4 linked regions of the Macaca mulatta genome follow. The protein of the gene in region 3 interacts with the protein of the main gene of each other region in a pairwise test. Links are inferred from orthologs where the notes say so. Each region holds a gene or a part of one and is shown on either strand. Other genes may lie near its edges. The genes, in order: GTF2I, NUP54, AP2B1 and NEU4.

Region 1 (5,170 bases), on a different chromosome or scaffold from region 3:
TTTTGTTTTGAGACAGGATCTCTCACTCCAGTTGTCCAGGCTGGCGTAGAGTGGCGAGATCTCGGTTCACTGCAGCCTCAAACTCCCAGGCTCAAACAGTCCTCCCACTTCAGCCTCCCAAATGGCTGGGACTACAGGTGCACACCACCACACTCAGCTAATTTTTTGTATTTTTAGTAGAGACAGGGTTTCACCGTGTTGCCCAGGCTGGTCTTGGACTCCTGGGCTCAAGAGATCCGCCTACCTCAGCCTCCCAAAGTGCTGGGATTACAGGTGTGAGCCACCAGGCCTGGCCCAGATACTCTTGACAGATCTGTATTCCACAGCAGAGCATGACTTTTGATGAATACCAGAGGTCTTTTTCGTTGAACTCTGATTGATACAGGCCCAATATCTTCTAAGTCCAATTTCTTGGTTTTTCTTTACAATGTACATAGTACACTATACATTCTTTATATTGAGAACAGAATGTAAAATATCATTTGTAAGATAATACTTTGATCCTGTAGACATTGTTCCAATTTATGATTTGCACAATCCTGCCCGGATCACTTCAGTAGGGTCACAAGACCTCTTTGGCTGTCACATGTGTATCTACACTCTAGCAGATAACTCCTTTGTTCTTACAATGATACTTTTTTTTTTGAGACTGAGTCTCACTCTGTTGCCCAGGCTGGAGTGCAATGGCGCAATCTTGGCTCCCGGGTTCAAGTGATTCTCCTGTCTCAGTCTTCCGAGTAGCTAGGATTATAGGCGTGTGCCACCAGACTCAGCTAATTTTTGTATTTTTAGTAGAGACAGGGTTTCACCATGTTGGTCAAGCTGGTCTTGAACTCCTGACCTCATAATCTGCCCGCCTCGGCCTCCCAAAGTGCTGGGATTACAGGCATGAGCCAGCATATCCAACCACAATGATATTTTTTAATACTGATTATAAAACACTGTTTTTGAACGGTTTTTTGTTTGAATAATTTGAATCCTGAATGAATGACTATCTTTTCCAGTATGTATGGTTCTTAGAATTCATCCAAAGGTGGAAAAAAAAAAACCTAAATCCAAGTTATAATTTATTCATAACAATTAATAATGTAGATGTGATCTAAATAGACCTTCCAGCTCTAGCTCTGCCTTTTGTGTGAGCATCTGGCCGACACAGTAAAACGAATATTCATGTTGCACCAGTTGAAATAAACAGTTTTCTTTGTTGGGGTAGCAGGATTTAGATGAATTTTATCTGCTATTTAGGATTATGTTAACATTGTCGTTTTTTAAAGTTTTTAAATTTAAGTTTTTAAATATAAAGCTCTAAATTTAAGTTGTTAAAAATAAAACCTCTATAGTATTTTCTCTGCCTCCTTCAGGGATTTGGGGAAATCAGATGATACGTAGATGAAAATACTTTATGAACTTGGGTACGTGTTATATAAATATTAGATGGTATTATTTAGCATTCAAAACTTTTTAAAAATATGAAAAAAGTCCATGTTCCATGTTTCTTTTCTTTTCTTTTCTTTTCTTTTTTTTTTTGAGACAGAGTTTCGCTCTTGTTGCCCAGGCTGGAGTGCAATGGCGCGATCTCGGCTTACTGCAACCTTTGCCTCCTGGGTTCAAGCAATTCTCCTGCCTCAGCCTCCCGAGTAGCTGGGATTACAGCCATGCGCCACCATGCCTGGCTAATTTTGTATTTTTAGTAGAGACGGGGTTTCTCCATGTTGGTCAGGCTGATCTCGAACTCCCAACCTCAGGTGATCCGCCCGCCTCAGTGGGAGAAGGATGAGGAGCAGAAAAAAAATAACTATTGGATAGGCTTAGTACGCGGGTGGCAAAATAATCTGTACAACAAACCCCGGTGACACGAGTTTACCTGTATAATAAACCTGCATATGTACCCATGAACCTACAATAAAAATTTAAAAAGAGAGAGAGAGAGTGAATACAGTAGTCCCCTGTTTCTGTGGGGGACACATTCCGAGACTGCCAGTGGATGCCTGAAACCTTGGATAATACCAAATCCAACTAGGCACAGGAAGAAGTTAACAGCAATGATAACAAAATGGAACAAGTATAGCAAGTACTGAGGTGAATGTGATCTCTCTCTCTCTCTCTCAAAATAACTTGTACTGTACTCACCCTTCTTCTTCTTCTTGTAATGATGTGAGAATCTATGCCTGAATCTGTGTAACCATCCCTTACTCGCAGTAAATGGCTTGGTGTCAGTTTCAGAGCATCCCTTGCTGAAGTCTTGGTATAGGCTCAAGGCTTTCTGGCACAACACGTTGCTGTCAATGGGAACACGTTTTCTGTTCATCTCTTCCACCCACAAATGCAGTGCCTGTTCCATCTTAACTAAGCACTTATCACGCACCGTGGCCGTCACTTTAGCAGTTGGAGGTGAGACAGCAAAACTAGCACGAATTTCTTTTTCCTTCTTCACAATTTCACGGATGGAAGATTCATTCTTCCCGTAGATCTTAGCAACCTCAGCATAGGATTTTTTTTCTTTCCTGATTAAGTCGAGAACTTTCACCTTTTCACTTAGAGGGAGCACTTTACGGCTTCTCTTTGGCCTGTCCAAATTCCCAGCATCACTACTCTTGTGCTTTGGGGCCATTATGATAGAAAATAAGGGTGACTTGGCCGGGCGTGGTGGCTCACGCCTGTAATCCCAGCACTTTGGGAGGCCGAGACGGGCGGATCACGAGGTCAGGAGATCGAGACCATCCTGGCTAACACGGTGAAACCCCGTCTCTACTGAAAAATACAAAAAACTAGCCGGGCGAGGTGGCGGGCGCCTATAGTCCCAGCTACTCGGGAGGCTGAGGCAGGAGAATGGCGTGAACCCGGGAGGCGGAGCTTGCAGTGAGCTGAGATCCGGCCACCGCACTCCAGCCTGGGTGACAGAGCGAGACTCCGTCTCAAAAAAAAAAAAAAGAAAAGGGTGACTTGAACACAAACACTGCAATACTTGCAGACAGTCGATCTGATAACCCAGACGGCTCCCAAGTGACTAACGGGTGGGAGGCGTCTACCGTAGTTCCCCCTCTTATCTGCAGTTTCGCTTTCTGCAGTTTCAGTTACCCACGGTCAACCGCGGTCCAAAAATAGCTATGTTCAGTACAAGAAGATATTTTTGAGAGAGAGACGGAGACAGACCATAGTCACATAACTTTTATTACAGTATATTGTTATAGATGTTAGAACAATTCCATATGACTATATCTATAGATATATATAATAGAGACAACCTATAGCCTTGCAACATAATCATAAAATCAAGAGATGAAAAATCTAGGTTAAATGCTGACAACAAATACCTGCATCCTTCCTTTTCTCTTTTTGTTTCCACCGTGGACTTAACCACCAGTTTCTTGATTCTTTAGCATTGCGTTTACCAAGCCTTTCCTCTTTTTCTGGTGAATCATAGCAGCCTTTTTTAACCCCTTCAAGACCTGGTGTTTAGTATACTTAAGGTAGATGACCCACTTGGGGAAGTTTTCATCAAAGAATAAAGGGAATTTTTGAACAATGGGTTGGAAGGGGGAGGGAAAGCCAATCAGAACGATGCTGTTCAAAGTGAAATTAACCCACCATCTGGCTGGGCGCGGTGGTTCGCACCTGTAATCCCAGCGCTTTGGGAGGCCAAGGCGGCTGGATCATCTGAGGTCAGGAGTTCAAGACCAGCCTGGCCAACATGGTGAAACCCCGTCTTTACTAGAAATACAATAATTAGCCGGGCATGGTGGCAGGTGCCTGTAATCCCAGTTACTTGGGAGGCTGAGGCAGGAGAATCGCCTAAACCCGGGAGGTGGAGGTTGCAGTGAGCTGAGATCATGCCACTGCACTCCAGCCTGGGCAACAGAGTGAAACTGTCTGAAAAAAAGAAAAGAGAAAAAGAAATTAACCCATTATCAGTGTAACAAGTACTTTTCATTGTTTTCCCAGCAGTGAGAAGGTGTTAATTATCCATTCCCTTCCCCCTAAACCTAGGGAGGGGGCTGACCAAGCTCTGGCTTGTACCTGGGGCTGTAGGCTGACTTCATTCATACCAGCCTGCTGTGTTTTCCAATCCCAGATGAACTCAGTCTGACCCGGATAATGGAAGGAAGTGAGGGGCACCAATGAGTATCAGGAAAGAATCTGAACACCTACTATATTCTGGAAAGCCTGCAAGACCATCTGTGCCCTCCAGAAATGTGTGATCATGGCTCACATGTATTGAGCAGTCCTTCAGAGCCACGCACCAGGCTCGACACTTAATAGATTATCTCATTGCTTGCTGCCTCTGTGGCAAGTGCACCGAATGCCCCTCCACTCCCATGCTAAAGAGGCTCAGAAAGGCTCAGTACTCAGCCTGGGATACACAGATGGCACAATCAGATTTTGGTCTAAACCTGCTCGGATCCAAAGCCTGAATTCTTAACTACTGTTGTCCATTCACCAGTAATAACCATCTGATTCAAGCAGATATGACAAATGAATCAAATACAATATGCACTCAGGTAAATGTGTCAAGATGGCACAAGAAAGCTACACACAAAGCAGACAATTTTTCATGGAGAAAGTAGCATTTGCAGCTGGGCACAGTGGCTCACGCCTGTAATCCCAGCGCTTTGGGAGGACGAGATGGGCGGATCATAAGGTCAGCAGATCAAGACCATCCTGGCTAACATGGTGAAACCCTGTCTCTACTAAAAATACAAAAAATCAGCCAGGTATGGTGGCGGGCACCTGTATTCCCAGCTACTCAGGAGGCTGAGGCAGGAGAACGGCGTGTAACCGTGAGGCGGAGCTTGCAGTGAGCCGAGATAGTGCCACTGCACTCCAACCTGGGCAATAGAGCAAGAGTCCATCTCAAAAAAAAAAGAAAAGAAAAGAAAGAAAGAAAGAAAAAGAAGAAAGAAAGAAGGTAGCATTTACAATGAAAAGTAAAGGATGGGTGAATTGTTTATTTATTTATGTACATGTGTATTTATTTATTTATTTATTTTGAGACGAAGTCTCACTCTGTTGCCCAAGCTGGAGTGCAATGGCATGATCTCGGCTCACTGCAACATCCACCTCCCAGGATGAAGCAATTCTCCTGCCTCAGCCCCCTATCGAGTAGCGGGGACTACAGGTGTGCACCACCACACCTGGCTAATTTTTTTTTTTTTTTTTTTTTTTTTTTTTT
Region 2 (3,941 bases), on a different chromosome or scaffold from region 3:
AGCCAAGGCAGGAGGATTGCTGGAGTCTAGGAGTTCAAGACCAGCCTGGGCAACATAGCAAGACCCCATCTCTACACAAAATAAAAAATATTAGCCCATTGTGGTGGTGCATGCCTGTAGTCCCAGTTACTCGAGTCTGAGGTGGGAGAACTGCTTAAGCCCAGGAGGTCAAGGCTGCAGTGAGTCATGATTATGCCACTGTACGCCAGCCTGGGTGACAGAGAGACTTGTCAAACAAACAAACAAACAAAAACCACAAAATATCCTAGTCTACACAACTGTAACCTATACAACTGAGCATAAATCTCTTCAGTGGGTTCTCAGAGGATGGACTCCAGATATACAGTGCATCACACTGTTCACCATCCCCATAGTAAATACAATACCAAGATTCATGGGGCTGTTACTTGTAACACCTGTCAATATAAACCAAAGCATCACAGAGAAGTGCAAAGTTAAAGCATCTCAAGAGCGGCAAACATGATGCAGCCCAAACATACAGTGTGTAGTCAGAAATACTGTTTAAAATGACCCACTGGTTAAAGACCCACTATTTAACACTATTTAATCTGTTTAACTCAGATTTTCTAGTATTTCAAATATTAATGACGTATTAGGGAATTCTTAATACTAGATGATATCTGAAGTAAGTTTTATTTGCCATACCCTAATCAAATTGTGCTGATTATATCAGCACTGACAAAAATCCCTAGGAGGGAAAAATCAGACTTAAGACTAAAATTCCTGAATTGTGATTATTAATTTAGTACCTATGTGGACAAAAAATGGTCATTCCTCAAAAGCCAAATAAAGCACCAGACAAAATTTTATAAAATTACAAATTAAGAATTTATTTATAAGTTTTCATCTTTTTAGAAATAAAAAGGCTTAAAAAACAAAATGGTTGCAAAAATGGTTAATTTTGTTATATCCTAATTGCTTAGGTGTGCTCTGTAAATTCCAAATAAGTAAAATAATATAAAAATACATTTTCAAATCTTTATAGAACAAAAAAAAAACATTAAATGCTTTTGGATTTTCTTTACTCCTCCCACAGATGAGTTCACAAATAGAAAAACTGGTGTACATTTATACTCTGAAGTACAAATCTCCAACAGCCAAGTAATTATAGTTTCTTCTGTTATGTGCAAAGATTATTTCATATTTACTTGGTATGGAAAGCAGAGCACAGGCTCAGTGGACAATAATCATTAAACAGATGATGTTCAAGAAAATGCTGTTGTAAAAATGTACAATAGTACATATAATTTTGGTAATTATGCACTTCTCCTTTTAAAGTAAATACAGCTTTTAGATATAAATCTTTCAAAGGTTTTCTTTGAAGAGCTGTGAGGTGACTGTATTTCAGATTTGATGGACAGTAATTTGTCAGTAAACTTCTCAAAAAACCAAGCCAAGAGAGAATTGTTTTCTTTTTCCCTCCACGTGGTCGGTTTCATTCTTAAGGAAGGGCTGATGCAGTAAGAAGATGAATTTCACAAACCTTTACACAAGTTTGTGAACTGTCAACTAAAGACACCACCTCTGATGTGGATGGTTTCATTCAATCCATGTTCGACCAGCTTTATATCTTCTAGATCATCTTTAATGATGCTAATCAAATGGCTAAGGCCTTCCTGTTGTTGTTTCAAATGCTAGAACAAATTAAGAAACAACATATTAATGTATTAATTTATTAAAACTGCAAGCTAGTCACAGGAAAAAGGACTCCACTTTGACTGTTTTACTAATAACACAGTACCTAGTAAGTGCTTTAAATATAGAGGGCATGCATATTTAAACATTTGTACTACATCTTTTGCTAACAGTGAAAGACAAACTCTAAAGAACAATAAAATCAAACAAATATAAAATGAACAGTATCTTCCAACAAAAATGTTTTTTAGATAGCTATTTCCTTTTACCAACTTTTAATAAAGGCATAATAAAACAGAACTCAAAGGAGGTATTCAAATATAGATGACTAACAAAATAACATTCTGAAAACTGAGAATATTCATGTTTTGAAGTACAAAGTATATAGCGATAATGGTGATGATGACTACAGATGCTAACATTTTTTAAAGACTCCTCCTTATGGGTTAAGGTGCTGTTTTAATAGTGAGTACTGGTATTCACTTGTTCAACTCATTTAAAATCCTTTTGAGCACCCTTTGGGGTACCATTATCATATCCACAGTTAAAGAAACTACAGGTAAATAACCTACCCAAGGTCATAAAGTAGATGGTGAACCATGATTCAATCCCTGAACAATACACTGCTCATCATTTTAAAAAAGACAAGTGTTTAAATTATTCAGTTTTATTGCATATATCAACCTACAACTATTACAATATACTGGAATCTGTTAATTTATTGCAAATACTTAAAACAATGGAATATAATTGGTTGTGTAATGTCCAAGAATCTAGAAGCCAAACTAGTTTTTGGTTACATAAAACCAGCCATATCCATTCTAAAGCATATAATAAAATTGGATTTGTTGATGACATTTATAACCTTAATCTAAAATCCTCAGGGCCATGCCAACAGTCATTAGCTACCTAGTATGCTCCACAAAGTTCATCATCTTCATATATTTTCTTTAGATACAACTGTTCATTTTCATTAAACCAATCTGCATTTATACTAATGAAAATAAGCCAAAGCAGTGTTTCCCAACTTTTTCACACAAGGTGAAAACCCGAGAAGAGTGGCTGGAGGTTCTGGCCACCTCAACCTACCTCCATCCAGATCTCCTGAGGGCTTAGGGGATAGATCAATAACAACATGTTTATAACTTACGTGTGACATATAGGCAGGGAAGGTATTATCTAAAGCAGTTGCTTCTCAAACTTTAAAGTGCATACAAATCATTCTATGATCTTGATAAAATGCAGATCGAATACATCTGGAGTAAGGACTGAAATTTTGCATTTTTAATGACCTTCCAGGTGCGGTTACTGCCTACACTTTAAGGAGCAAGGTCTAGTAAACTGTAGTGTCTCTATTACCTCTTAAATTCATCTTTTTGGTGAGGAGAGGGATACTTCACCTTTTTAAAATTGTGGCAAAACAGGCTCACCATAAAATTTTGCCTGTAACTATTTTTAAGTATACAGTTCAGTGGCATTAAGTATACTTATGCTGTTGTGCAATAATCAACACTATCCATTTTGTTCAGAACTTTTCATCATCTCAAGTTGAAATTCTGTACCAATTAAGTTCCTCCCATCCCCTCCTCCCCTCACACCCTGGCAACCACCTTTCTACTCTCTATTAATTGAACTACTAGGTACTTTTCACAAGTGAAATCATAAATATTTGCCCTTTTACGAGTGGCTTATTTCATGAAACACAACTTCTTCAAGGTCAAATTGCACTGTAGCGTGTGTCAGAATTTCCTTCTTTTTTCAAGGCTGAATAATATTCCACTGTGTGTATATATACTACATTTTGTTTCTCTATTCCTTGATTGACTCTTGGGTTACCACCACATTTTGGCTATTGTGAATAATGATCTATGAACATGGGTGTACAAATACGTTTTGGGTCCCTGCTTCCAACGTACTTGGGTATATATCCATAAGTAGACCTGAGAGATTGTATCGTAATTCTATCTTTAATTTTTTGAGTAAACACTACACTGTTTTTCATAGAGGCTGAACCATTTTACCAACACTGCAAGAAAGTTCCAATTTCTCCACATTCTCACCAACACTTTTCTTTATTAGGATAACAACCATCCTAATAGGTGTGAAGTGGTGAGCTCACAGTTTAAATAATACACCCTCATACAACACTTACCTGCTTGATTTCTCGTAACAGATCTGCATCTATGTAATACCTTTCTTCAGATCTGACTGCTCCAAAATGATTCTGCATCCTGATTTGAGACATCAATTCATTTAGTCGACCCTAAAAGTTAAGACTGAGTCAA
Region 3 (5,242 bases):
TTCCTTAAAATATATGCATTTTTCAGAGAAAGGATTGGAAAATAAAACAAATATAAAGAAGATAACATTTGTAATCAGCACCCAGAGAGAACCACTAATAGGTATATATACGCCTCTGGATTTAGAGTTTTGTATCTTTCTTTTATTCTTATCATTTCAAAGCATTTTTCTGTATCATATTTTTCAACAATATGATTTAAAAGGCACATCCCAATCATATAAATAAATACATGTTCATTGTATTTGAAAAGTACAGAAAAATATTAGGAAGAAAAGTAAAACTCTCACTATTCCGCAATAACCACTTTTAACATTGTGCTGAATATCCAAGCTTTTTTTTTTTTTTTTTTTTTTTTTTTGAGACGAGTCTGGTTTTGTTACCCAGGCTGGAGTGCAGTGGCGAGATCTTGGCTCACTGCAACCTCCACCTCCTGGGATCACGTCATTCTCCTGCTTCAGCCTCCTGAGTAGCCGGGATTATAGGCATGTGCCACCACACCAGCTAATTTTTGTTTTTTCAGTAGAGACGGGGTTTCACCACATTGGCCAGGCTGGTCTCAAACTCTTGACCTCAGGTGATCTGCCCACCTCAGTCTCCTAAAGGGCTGGGATTACAGGTGTGAGCCACCATGACTGGCCTATCCTAGCCTTTTTTTTCTATACATATATAGTCATACCATATACTATATTGTTTTGTATCCTATTTTTACTTAACACTTTATGAATTTTCTGTCATAAAATATTCTATAACATTATGCAGCTATCTGATTTACCATAAGTGTTTACATTATCTCTCTTTATACCTGGCTTTCCAATTTCCCCTATTCCTCTATTTTAATAACAGGAAATAATAATACATGAGTATGTTATACAAAATTTTAATGTACTTCTGATCACTTTTTTAAGAATGAAGTTTTAAAATACTTAAACACTTTCTGACTCACAGAGTTCATGGGCAAAATGTGAGAAAAATAAATAATCACTTTGCTCTCCATCCTTCCTTACACCCTGAAATTAACCTTAGGGACAGCTAGTTCATTTAACCTCATCAATCTTGTTCTCCAGTTCCAGGTCCTGGAATCTAGGTCTTAGTTTCCGAAAGAAACTTACTTTTGTGTAAGCACACCTATTATATACTAGGCACTTGACCTAATTTATCTGGTTTACGCTTCACATGCCCGAGAGAGATACTATCATTGTCTTCATTTCACAGATAAGAAGATTGAGGAGACATTAACTTTCCCAGTCACATTCAGGGTAGGGATTCAAACTCACATCCAATGCCTCCTCAACCTCTTTTACCTGCACCACTATCCTCTAGCCCCACTGCCCGTATATAGCCCTGGGTTATATCACCATTGTCCGCTCTTGAGCCTGGAAGGAAAATGAGCTGAGGGGTTTTGTTTTTTCACAAAGGAACAGGATATTTCATCATCTCTGTGTTTACGTTTTTCAGAGAATTTCTGTGCGAGGTAACAAATCCATTGTCAGCGTTTTAAATATATTCCTTTGGAGTAGCCACTTAACATCCTCTGAGGCCCAGATGGGCCAGCTTTGCTGGGACCATGGGAAATGTTTGGGGCTGGAAGGCGACAGAGATTACCGCCTTGCTAGGTCTCCCGCGCACCCCGATGACGTCACGCGGCGAGGTTCTCTGACGTCAGAGTTTCCTGCCCACCATCTTTGTCCCTGGCAAAGTGGGTTTTGCGCAGTGGCTTAGACCTAGAAAAGAATCGTGACGGGCAGGAAACCATTACACCACCACCCGGGCTGTGCTCTCCGGCTCCCGCCGCCACCCCCGCCCTCGACTTCGCCTCCGCCTCCGGTGAGTTCAGGGAGGCTGCCTTTGGGGTGTGTCCCTAATTGACGGGGTGGGGGACGAAAAGAAGGGGAACCCCAGGCTGGGTCGAGGACCGGCGGAAGCGAGGATATCCTAAGAGCGTGACCGTTGAGGATACAGGGAACCGTCGGGTGTGACCAGTGAGAGGAAAAAGGTTGGAGAAAGGGTCTCCACCATGATGACTGTGGTGCGGTGAGGGAATCCTCGGGTGTGGCAGCAAGTAGTTGGGGGCATGAGGGTAAGATGTACTTCGGAATTGGGGGTTTAGGAGGACCAGAGGCCAGGGGTGTGGCTGATAGAGCCTGGAGGCCGTGGGGGGAACCGTCTTTCTTCCCCGCTCGGCGTCGTTCACTAAGAGTCACTAAGAGTCTGAGACGTGTCCAGCAAAAGCGAAAGGGAAAAACCCGTTTGCTCATTGATGGGCGAACGTCGTCTGTCCAGTAACTTGAGGGTAAGAGACAACCTCTTCCCTGCTCCGTAATGGAGGAGCATATCGCTAGAATCTTGACCACTTGGGGAAAGAAGAGGCATTCCTGACTCTTGGAGGAAGAGTAACCTCCAGAATTGACCCGATGTAAGAGAGGGGGAAGCAAATGGGGGTAAATCTTAACCCACCTTTTTTTTTTTTTTTTCTTCTTTTTCTGGGCTCTGCGGGAATGGTCTGGCTTGGGAAAGGCTGTAGATTAAGCTGAAAGTAAAGAAACTGGAACTTACTGTTATTTCCTTATCATTTGAATCCAAATAATTTGTTCATGCTGCTTATTTTCAAGAGCAGTCTTCTGTTGGAGGGGTGGGGTGGGGGGACAGGCTTTCATTGAACTCACGCGGATGCTTCATTAAACGTTTGACTTTTATTTTATTTTATTTTTATATTTTCAGTGACAGGGTCTTACTGTGTTGCCCAGTCTAGTCTAGAACCCCTGGGCTCAAGCGATCCTCCCTATTCGGCCTCCCACAGTGCTGTGATTACAGGCGTGAGCCAGAGCGCCCAGCCAAACTTGACTTTTGAAAAGAAAAAATGTTTTGAAAACCGCCAAAGACTTATCGTAACCATTGTGGTTTAAAAGAAAATGCATTAAACTTACAAAGGCAGAATGACTAAGAAAGAAGGTGGTCTCAATGAGAATCAATTTAAATTATTAATTACCTTCCTTGTATACTTGAATTGCTTAGCCTCAGGGTACACTTACAAAGTAATAATAGAAAGTAGCAGATGAAGGAGGTGCAGCTCTATAAGAAAACGTGTAACACATTCCAGTGATGACTAAGCGTGCTGGTAAGGTGAGAACTGTTTGCAGGTATCTTAACCGTTGAAACTTTCAAGGAAGCAGAAAGGGTGATGTATAATGCAAGCATCCTCACTAAAAGCTGGGTGGTAAAATCAATATAAATCTAATATTCTGACTGTATATGAAGAAACTCAAGTCCAGTTCTTTCATTCTTTCCGTCCTTAAAAGATCCATATTTTGAAGTACTAACTTTTTAGGCACAGGTTTGAACCAAGCTGAGCAAGGAATATATTAAATAGGGCACCTTCTCCTTTCTCTTGTCCTTTCTTTCCTTCCAGGCTTAAGTTTTCCAGAGTTTAATGTTATTTTGGTTAAGAATTAGATGTAAAACTTTTGAACTCCTTTGCTTCTATATAATATTAAGAAGCTACTTTGTAGTCTAAGTAGAAATCACAGGTGATTTTAGCTTTTGTGTCGTAATTTCTTATGAGAAAAATAATACCTGATGATGCTATTGTCTTTGCATTATTACTGAATATTTGATTAGAAATGAATTTGGCACCTCTCACCCTTACAATAAAAGATTACTGGAATGACATTTCTGCTTTATAATTTGGTTAACTTTGTTCTGTTTTTTACTGTGAGCACTGAGCTTTGTAAAATCCAACTTTGTGAAAAGAAGGGTTTAGGGACTTTACGAACTAATTTGGCTTCCCAGAGAGCCATTTGAATTAAGATCCTATTAATTTTTTTTGACCTTATTCTACCCAAGGTATTAATCTTATTTTGCTGCTCAATTTCTCTTTTAGGGAACTGGAGGGAGGTATAGGAGAGGAGGGACTTTGACAACCTATATTTCATAGAAACTAGGTTATGTTAAATCTGGATATGTAATCCTGTGCAGGGAGGCCTACTCCGAAATGCAGTGACATCACACTCTGGTCAGGGCAAGTAAGAGTGATTATGTGCTTTGACTCTGGCAGCTTTGTTGTTTAACAATGGCCTTAGGCCATATCATAAATCCTCAGAACAGCCGTGACTTGTCTGGTTTGATCTGGTAGAAAGGTAGTGTTAGTTCAAATTCCGTCATGGCTTTGCTTATTTCTCTGGCTCTTCTGAAGGAACATTTTCTCCCCCAAAGGAGCAGCTTGATTTTTGAGGCACTTCAGCAAATATTTGAGTTTTTTTGTTTTTTTTTTTCTTGAGCTCTATTTTGTTTACTTTTTCTGTTACTTCTAATGAAGATGTCAGTTTTTGCCATCCTGTATTTTGGAGACTCTGGCTATGTCCATATCTAGCATGTGATTAAATGTGTCTCTCATTATATGAGGTAAGAACTCACTATATGAGAGATACACTTAATCATATATATGTGATTATTTTTTTGAGGTGAAATTCACGTACCATAAAATGAACCAGCTTAAGGCATACAGTTCAGTGGAATTTAGTACACTGACAGTGTTGTGCAACAATCACGTCTTCTATTTGTTTTTATTTAGACGATTTTCATTTTTCTTGGAGTTTCTTTTGGCTTAAGGCAACAACCAGCTTGGCACCATGTTTCTCTGCCAATATGGATAGGGAATATTGTTTACAATAGTGTTGCTTACTACAGTGATATCCCTTCTCTTTAGAGCAGCAGGGACTCTTAATTTAGAATCTATGTTATGGGCTTCTAAAGATACTTGACCCTCCTCTCTTCCCTGAAATTTTGTGGGTGGGTGCATTATTTTCTAGTTAAGATGAAAACACTTAATGCTCACAGTGAACAGGACAGTAATATATTCCTTGACATTGAAATTGTTACAGATAATGAAATATGTGAGCTGTTAAAGGCATGACTTAAGACTTAGGTTAATTTATTGTTTAATAGAATGTAGTGAAAATTCCTGTAAAGAATTTACTCATGCCTGTAATCCGAGCACTTTGGGAGGCCGAGGTTGATGGATCACTTGATGTCAGGAGTTCCAGACGAGCCTGGCTAACAAGGAAAACCCCCTCTCTACTAAAATACAAAAATTAGCCGGGCATGGTAGTGGGTGCCTGTAGTCCCCGCTACTCTGAAGGCTGAGGCAGAAGAAATCGCTTGAACCTGGGAGGCAGAGGTTGCAGTGAGCCCAGATCGAACCACTTCACTGGAGGCTGAGATCGAACCACTGCACTGGAGCCTGGG
Region 4 (4,103 bases), on a different chromosome or scaffold from region 3:
GGGAATGGTCACCGAAGCCAGCCCAAAGGGTGACCAGACCCAGAGACACGCAAAGAAGCCCATCACACACAATTCAGGGCCAGGAAGAAGGTGGCACACGTGTGCACCCCCCGGCCGGGCCGTCGTCCACGGGTGTGGCAGCAGGCTGGGCAGGAGCACTTGAAGCCAGAAGGAAGGGCCCGTGGAGAGAGGGGCCCAGGGCTCACTTCTATTTTTTCTTTATATTTTCTTTATAGCTTTCTACATTTTCCAGATTTTCTTTTTTTCTTTCTTTCTTTCTTTTTTTTTTTTTTTTTTTTTTTGAGTCTCACTCTGTCGCCCAGGCTGGAGTGCAGTGGCACAATCTTGGCTCACTGCAACCTCCGCCTCCTAGGTTAAAGTGATTCTCCTGCCTCAGCCTCCCAAGTAGCTGAGATTACAGGTGCCCACCACGATGCCCAGCTAATTTTTGTATTTTTAGTAGAGACGAGATTTCACCACGTTGGCCAAGCTGGTCTCGAATTCCTGACCTCAGGTGATCCACCTGCCTCGACCTCCCAAAGTGCTGGGATTATAGGCGTGAGCCACTGTGCCCGGCTCATTTTCCAGATTTTCTACAGTAAGCACATATTGCTTTTGTCATCAGAAATTAAGACTTTAAAAGGAGAATAAATAAAAAGGAACTTCCCTGGGGAAACAGCCCCAGTGGTGCCCAAGCCCTCTGCAGGGTGGGGTCAGGGGAGCGGGACACAGGGCTGGTCCTGGAAGGTGACCCCCTCCTGGTGTCCAGCTCTGCGGGGAGAGGCCCTACCTCCTACTCCTCTGGTAGGAAGTTCAGAGAGTGCGGCAGACCACTTGCAAATCACCGCACAGGAGGCCAAGGGTGGAAGCCGCTTCCTCCCTCCTGCCCTCCCTCTGCTGGCCCCGGGATGTTTAGAAGCAGAGCTTTGCCAAGGCAATGAGATTTTGGGATGAGGGTCAGAGAAGCGGGTTAGAGCAGAGCTCCCTTCCCCAGGGCTGGAACCTGAAAAGGAAAGAAACGTCTACCCCGACACAAGCACGATTCCTTTATTTCGAGCCAGAAAGCAGCCAGCAAGCAAGTGCTGCCACCCACAACACCCTGGGCTACCTGCAGTCCTGCGCCTGACCCTGCAGCCTCGGGAGGGAGCTGTGGGGGGTCGCCCAGGGCCCACTTCCTGCCCCTACCCTGCCCTGCTCACTCCCAGCCGCTGTTCCCCTTCTCGAAGAGCAACCCCTGCTTGAGAACTCTGAGGAGAAACTTGCTTCTAATCCACAGGATTCTGCACTAAGAGCCCCCCCACATCCATCCTGGGGCACCCCAGCATATTCCACCCCTCTGCCCCAGGCACCCAAGGGGCATGGGCACGGCCAGAAGGCCTGTCAGGAGGGCCAGCAGCACCCCCGAGGCTTGTCCCCAAGGTTGGGCGGCTCGGGGCTGGTGGGCACGTTCTCCAGGACCTCACGTAGGGAGAATGTGCAAAAGGAAATCTCATCATAGGAGGTCCTGGCCCCACTCTCGTACAGGCAGGCAAAAACCAGGCCCCCCTCAGGGGCCGGCCCGACGGACGCCAGGTCGGAGTAGCCGCTGGGGCCCTCGTAGATCACCCAGGGCTCTGTCCAGCTGTGCGGGTCCAGCGGGGCCTGGCTCAGCCGGATACCCATGTGCAGCCGAGCCCTGCGCCCCACTGGGTGGGAGTACAGCAGCCACGTGGGGCTCTGGGGTGGGGCAGCAAAGGGCATGGGGAGCGCTAGGGTCCAGGACCCCACATCCCCACTGACCCCAGGCCTGGGGCCAGGCTGCCTGGGGCCATCCCCCTGAGGCTGCAGATGGCTGCAGGGCCCACCAGGCACCTGGGCTCCATGGGGGTCTCCGGCAGCCTCCTCTGGGGGTTCATGGACTCCAGGACCAAGGCGTGGAGGGTGAAGGGGACTCCCGGGGCCCACTGACCAACCGTCATCCCGTGGCCTGCTGGGGGCGGGGGCTGGGAAGCCCACGATGCTGCCCTGGCAGCCCCAGGCGGTCTCAGGCAGGGAAGCCACACGCTCTGCGGGCAGGAAGGAGGTGCCCTCGTCAGTGCTGAGTGCCTGCACGCGGCTGCCCAGGGTGCTCCGGGCATTGCAGTAGAGGAAGCTGCCGGCCTGTCCACCATCCACTGCCGCCAGCTGGCACTCGCCCGAGCGCAGGTTGGGCACGAGGCCTCCACAGCGCCAGGTGCGGCCGTGGTCATCGCTGTAGAAGGCGAAGGAGTGGGGGCTGGTCCGGCAGATCTTGCCAAAACACTCTCGGCGGTCCACGCGGTAGGTGTAGGCGGGCACCAGCAGGCGGCCTGAGGGCAGCTGCACGCCGTGGCCGGGACCCACGGCGAACGTGGCCCAGTCTGTGGGGAGGAGGGCGGAGGTGGGAGGGGCTGCTGAGTCCCCGAGGTTGGGGGGGGCGGATGGAGGAAGGCACAGGGGTCGGGGAAGGCACAGGGGTCGGGGAAGGAGGGGCTGGTGCCTCGGGTTAGGACCATCACACTCTGACCACCCTTCCACACAACTCATTGCAGCCGCCCTGAGTCCTCCCAGGCTGACAAGCCTCTCCCAGCCCTTAGCCCCCGCGCCCAGGTGGACAGCACCCAGGGAGGCTGGCGAGCACTGCCCATACAGATACAGCGGAGGGCGGGCAGGGGGAGTGAGGCCCTGCGGTGGGGTCCTGGGCTCCGCCATGTATCTGCTCCACTCCCTGCTGTGGCTCCCACAGGCCAGGGTCAGGTGGCCACAGAGGACGGGGTGGAGGGAAAGCTGTGGCGAGGCCTGGCCAGGCCCTAGGCGGGGTGAGAAGGGAGTAAAGAATAAGAGGAAGGGGTGGGGCAGGGTGGCTGTTGGTTTGGGAGCTGAGAGACACCTCAGCATTCAGCCTTCTCCTCTGCAGATAAAGGGATGACCTGGGGGGATGAGAGTCTGATCAGCCATAGAGGGCCTGCTCCTGCCCACCGGATGGACTGGGTGGCGACCAGTACCCATTTGCCTGGGACGGGAGGCCCAGGACAGTCCTGGGGAGAGGGCTGGTTGGTTCCCTTATGGCTGGAGGCAGGGGCGGGGGTGGGGCAGAATGGACATTTCCAGCTGGAATCTCCCTTCCATGTGGACCGTGGCCAATCCGAGGGACCCAGACTGGCACCCTGCCCGCCTACCCTGCACGGCACCACCAATGGCCTCCTCGGTGAGGTCCCGGGCGCTGCCCCACGAGAGGCCGGCGTCACGGCTGGCCACGTAGCAGAGGCGTGCGGCGTTCCTTCCCGTGGCGATCTGCACGGCCTCGGGCGTGTGGCCCAGCACCGCGATGAAGAAGAGGAAGACGGTGCCTGTGCCAGTGTCGTGCACGGGGCAGGGGTTCATGGACCGGTGCTCTGCCAGGGCTGCTGTCCCCAGCACCTGCAGGGCGCCCCACTGCCCAGAGGAGGAAGTGCCACTGACTAGGATGTCCAGGGACCTGGGCACAGCCCCCCGTGGGGCACCCGAGACAGCTGAGCCTGGTTTGCTCATCTCTATCTCGGGCACCCGCCTGCCACCGCCACCCCCGCCCCTGTCCCTGGGTGTGCAGCCCCAGTGGGCCCGGCCACTCACCCGCACGGAGCCCCCGGCCCGCGTGCCCCTCCTCAGCACCAGGCGGTGGGCATGGGAGTCATCGGGGCTGAGCCGCTGCTCCACAAAGGCCAGCAGGGTGGGCCCGGGGGGCACAGGGAGCAGCGAGGGCACGCGGTAGGTCAGGCCGGTCCTCTCCCGCTCAAAGAGCACTGTCCGTGAAGGGGTATGAGGGGCCCCCATGCTCTGCTGGTCAGTACAGGGCCACAGGTCAGCAAGGCAGGCCCAGGGAGTGGGGAAGGGGCTCAGGAGGTGCAGACAGCTCCTGCCCACACCTAGGGCTCTTCCTGTACCCACCTTGGGGTCAGGCCTGTTTCTGACTCCCTCACCCCAGATCTGGAGCAGCCCCTCCCCAGTCCACCCTCACAACCCCTGTACCCCAAATGTCTATGGAATCAGACCTTCCCCTCTCAACACGGCTCTGGGAGTTGACCCTCGGCCAGGCTAGTTGGTGCGGAGGTGCAGGGGAGGCTGGC

Evidence for each region.
Region 1: the proteins of AP2B1 (region 3) and GTF2I interact in binary tests that used the Homo sapiens proteins (3 or more experiments, as listed by UniProt). The link is inferred for Macaca mulatta from reciprocal best matches to the Homo sapiens genes AP2B1 and GTF2I.
Region 2: the proteins of AP2B1 (region 3) and NUP54 interact in binary tests that used the Homo sapiens proteins (3 or more experiments, as listed by UniProt). The two-hybrid records come from large-scale screens. The link is inferred for Macaca mulatta from reciprocal best matches to the Homo sapiens genes AP2B1 and NUP54.
Region 4: the proteins of AP2B1 (region 3) and NEU4 interact in binary tests that used the Homo sapiens proteins (3 or more experiments, as listed by UniProt). The two-hybrid records come from large-scale screens. The link is inferred for Macaca mulatta from reciprocal best matches to the Homo sapiens genes AP2B1 and NEU4.

What each region holds. Positions count from the first base shown.
Region 1 is NC_133408.1:52,147,556-52,152,725, reverse strand, and holds the start of GTF2I (general transcription factor II-I), read right to left. Parts: upstream 3,042-5,170; 5' UTR 2,612-3,041; coding exon 2,131-2,611; intron 41-2,130; exon of another isoform or gene 1-40. UniProt on the Homo sapiens protein: Interacts with the basal transcription machinery by coordinating the formation of a multiprotein complex at the C-FOS promoter, and linking specific signal responsive activator complexes.
Region 2 is NC_133410.1:57,698,664-57,702,604, reverse strand, and holds the end of NUP54 (nucleoporin p54), read right to left. Parts: intron 3,920-3,941; coding exon 3,809-3,919; intron 1,656-3,808; coding exon 1,527-1,655; 3' UTR 826-1,526; downstream 1-825. UniProt on the Homo sapiens protein: Component of the nuclear pore complex, a complex required for the trafficking across the nuclear membrane.
Region 3 is NC_133421.1:45,057,675-45,062,916, forward strand, and holds the start of AP2B1 (AP-2 complex subunit beta), read left to right. Parts: upstream 1-1,718; 5' UTR 1,719-2,078; intron 2,079-5,242. UniProt on the Homo sapiens protein: Component of the adaptor protein complex 2 (AP-2). Adaptor protein complexes function in protein transport via transport vesicles in different membrane traffic pathways.
Region 4 is NC_133417.1:147,099,557-147,103,659, reverse strand, and holds the end of NEU4 (sialidase-4), read right to left. Parts: intron 3,817-4,103; coding exon 3,610-3,816; intron 3,433-3,609; coding exon 3,177-3,432; intron 2,379-3,176; coding exon 1,381-2,378; 3' UTR 1,032-1,380; downstream 1-1,031. UniProt on the Homo sapiens protein: Exo-alpha-sialidase that catalyzes the hydrolytic cleavage of the terminal sialic acid (N-acetylneuraminic acid, Neu5Ac) of a glycan moiety in the catabolism of glycolipids, glycoproteins and oligosacharides.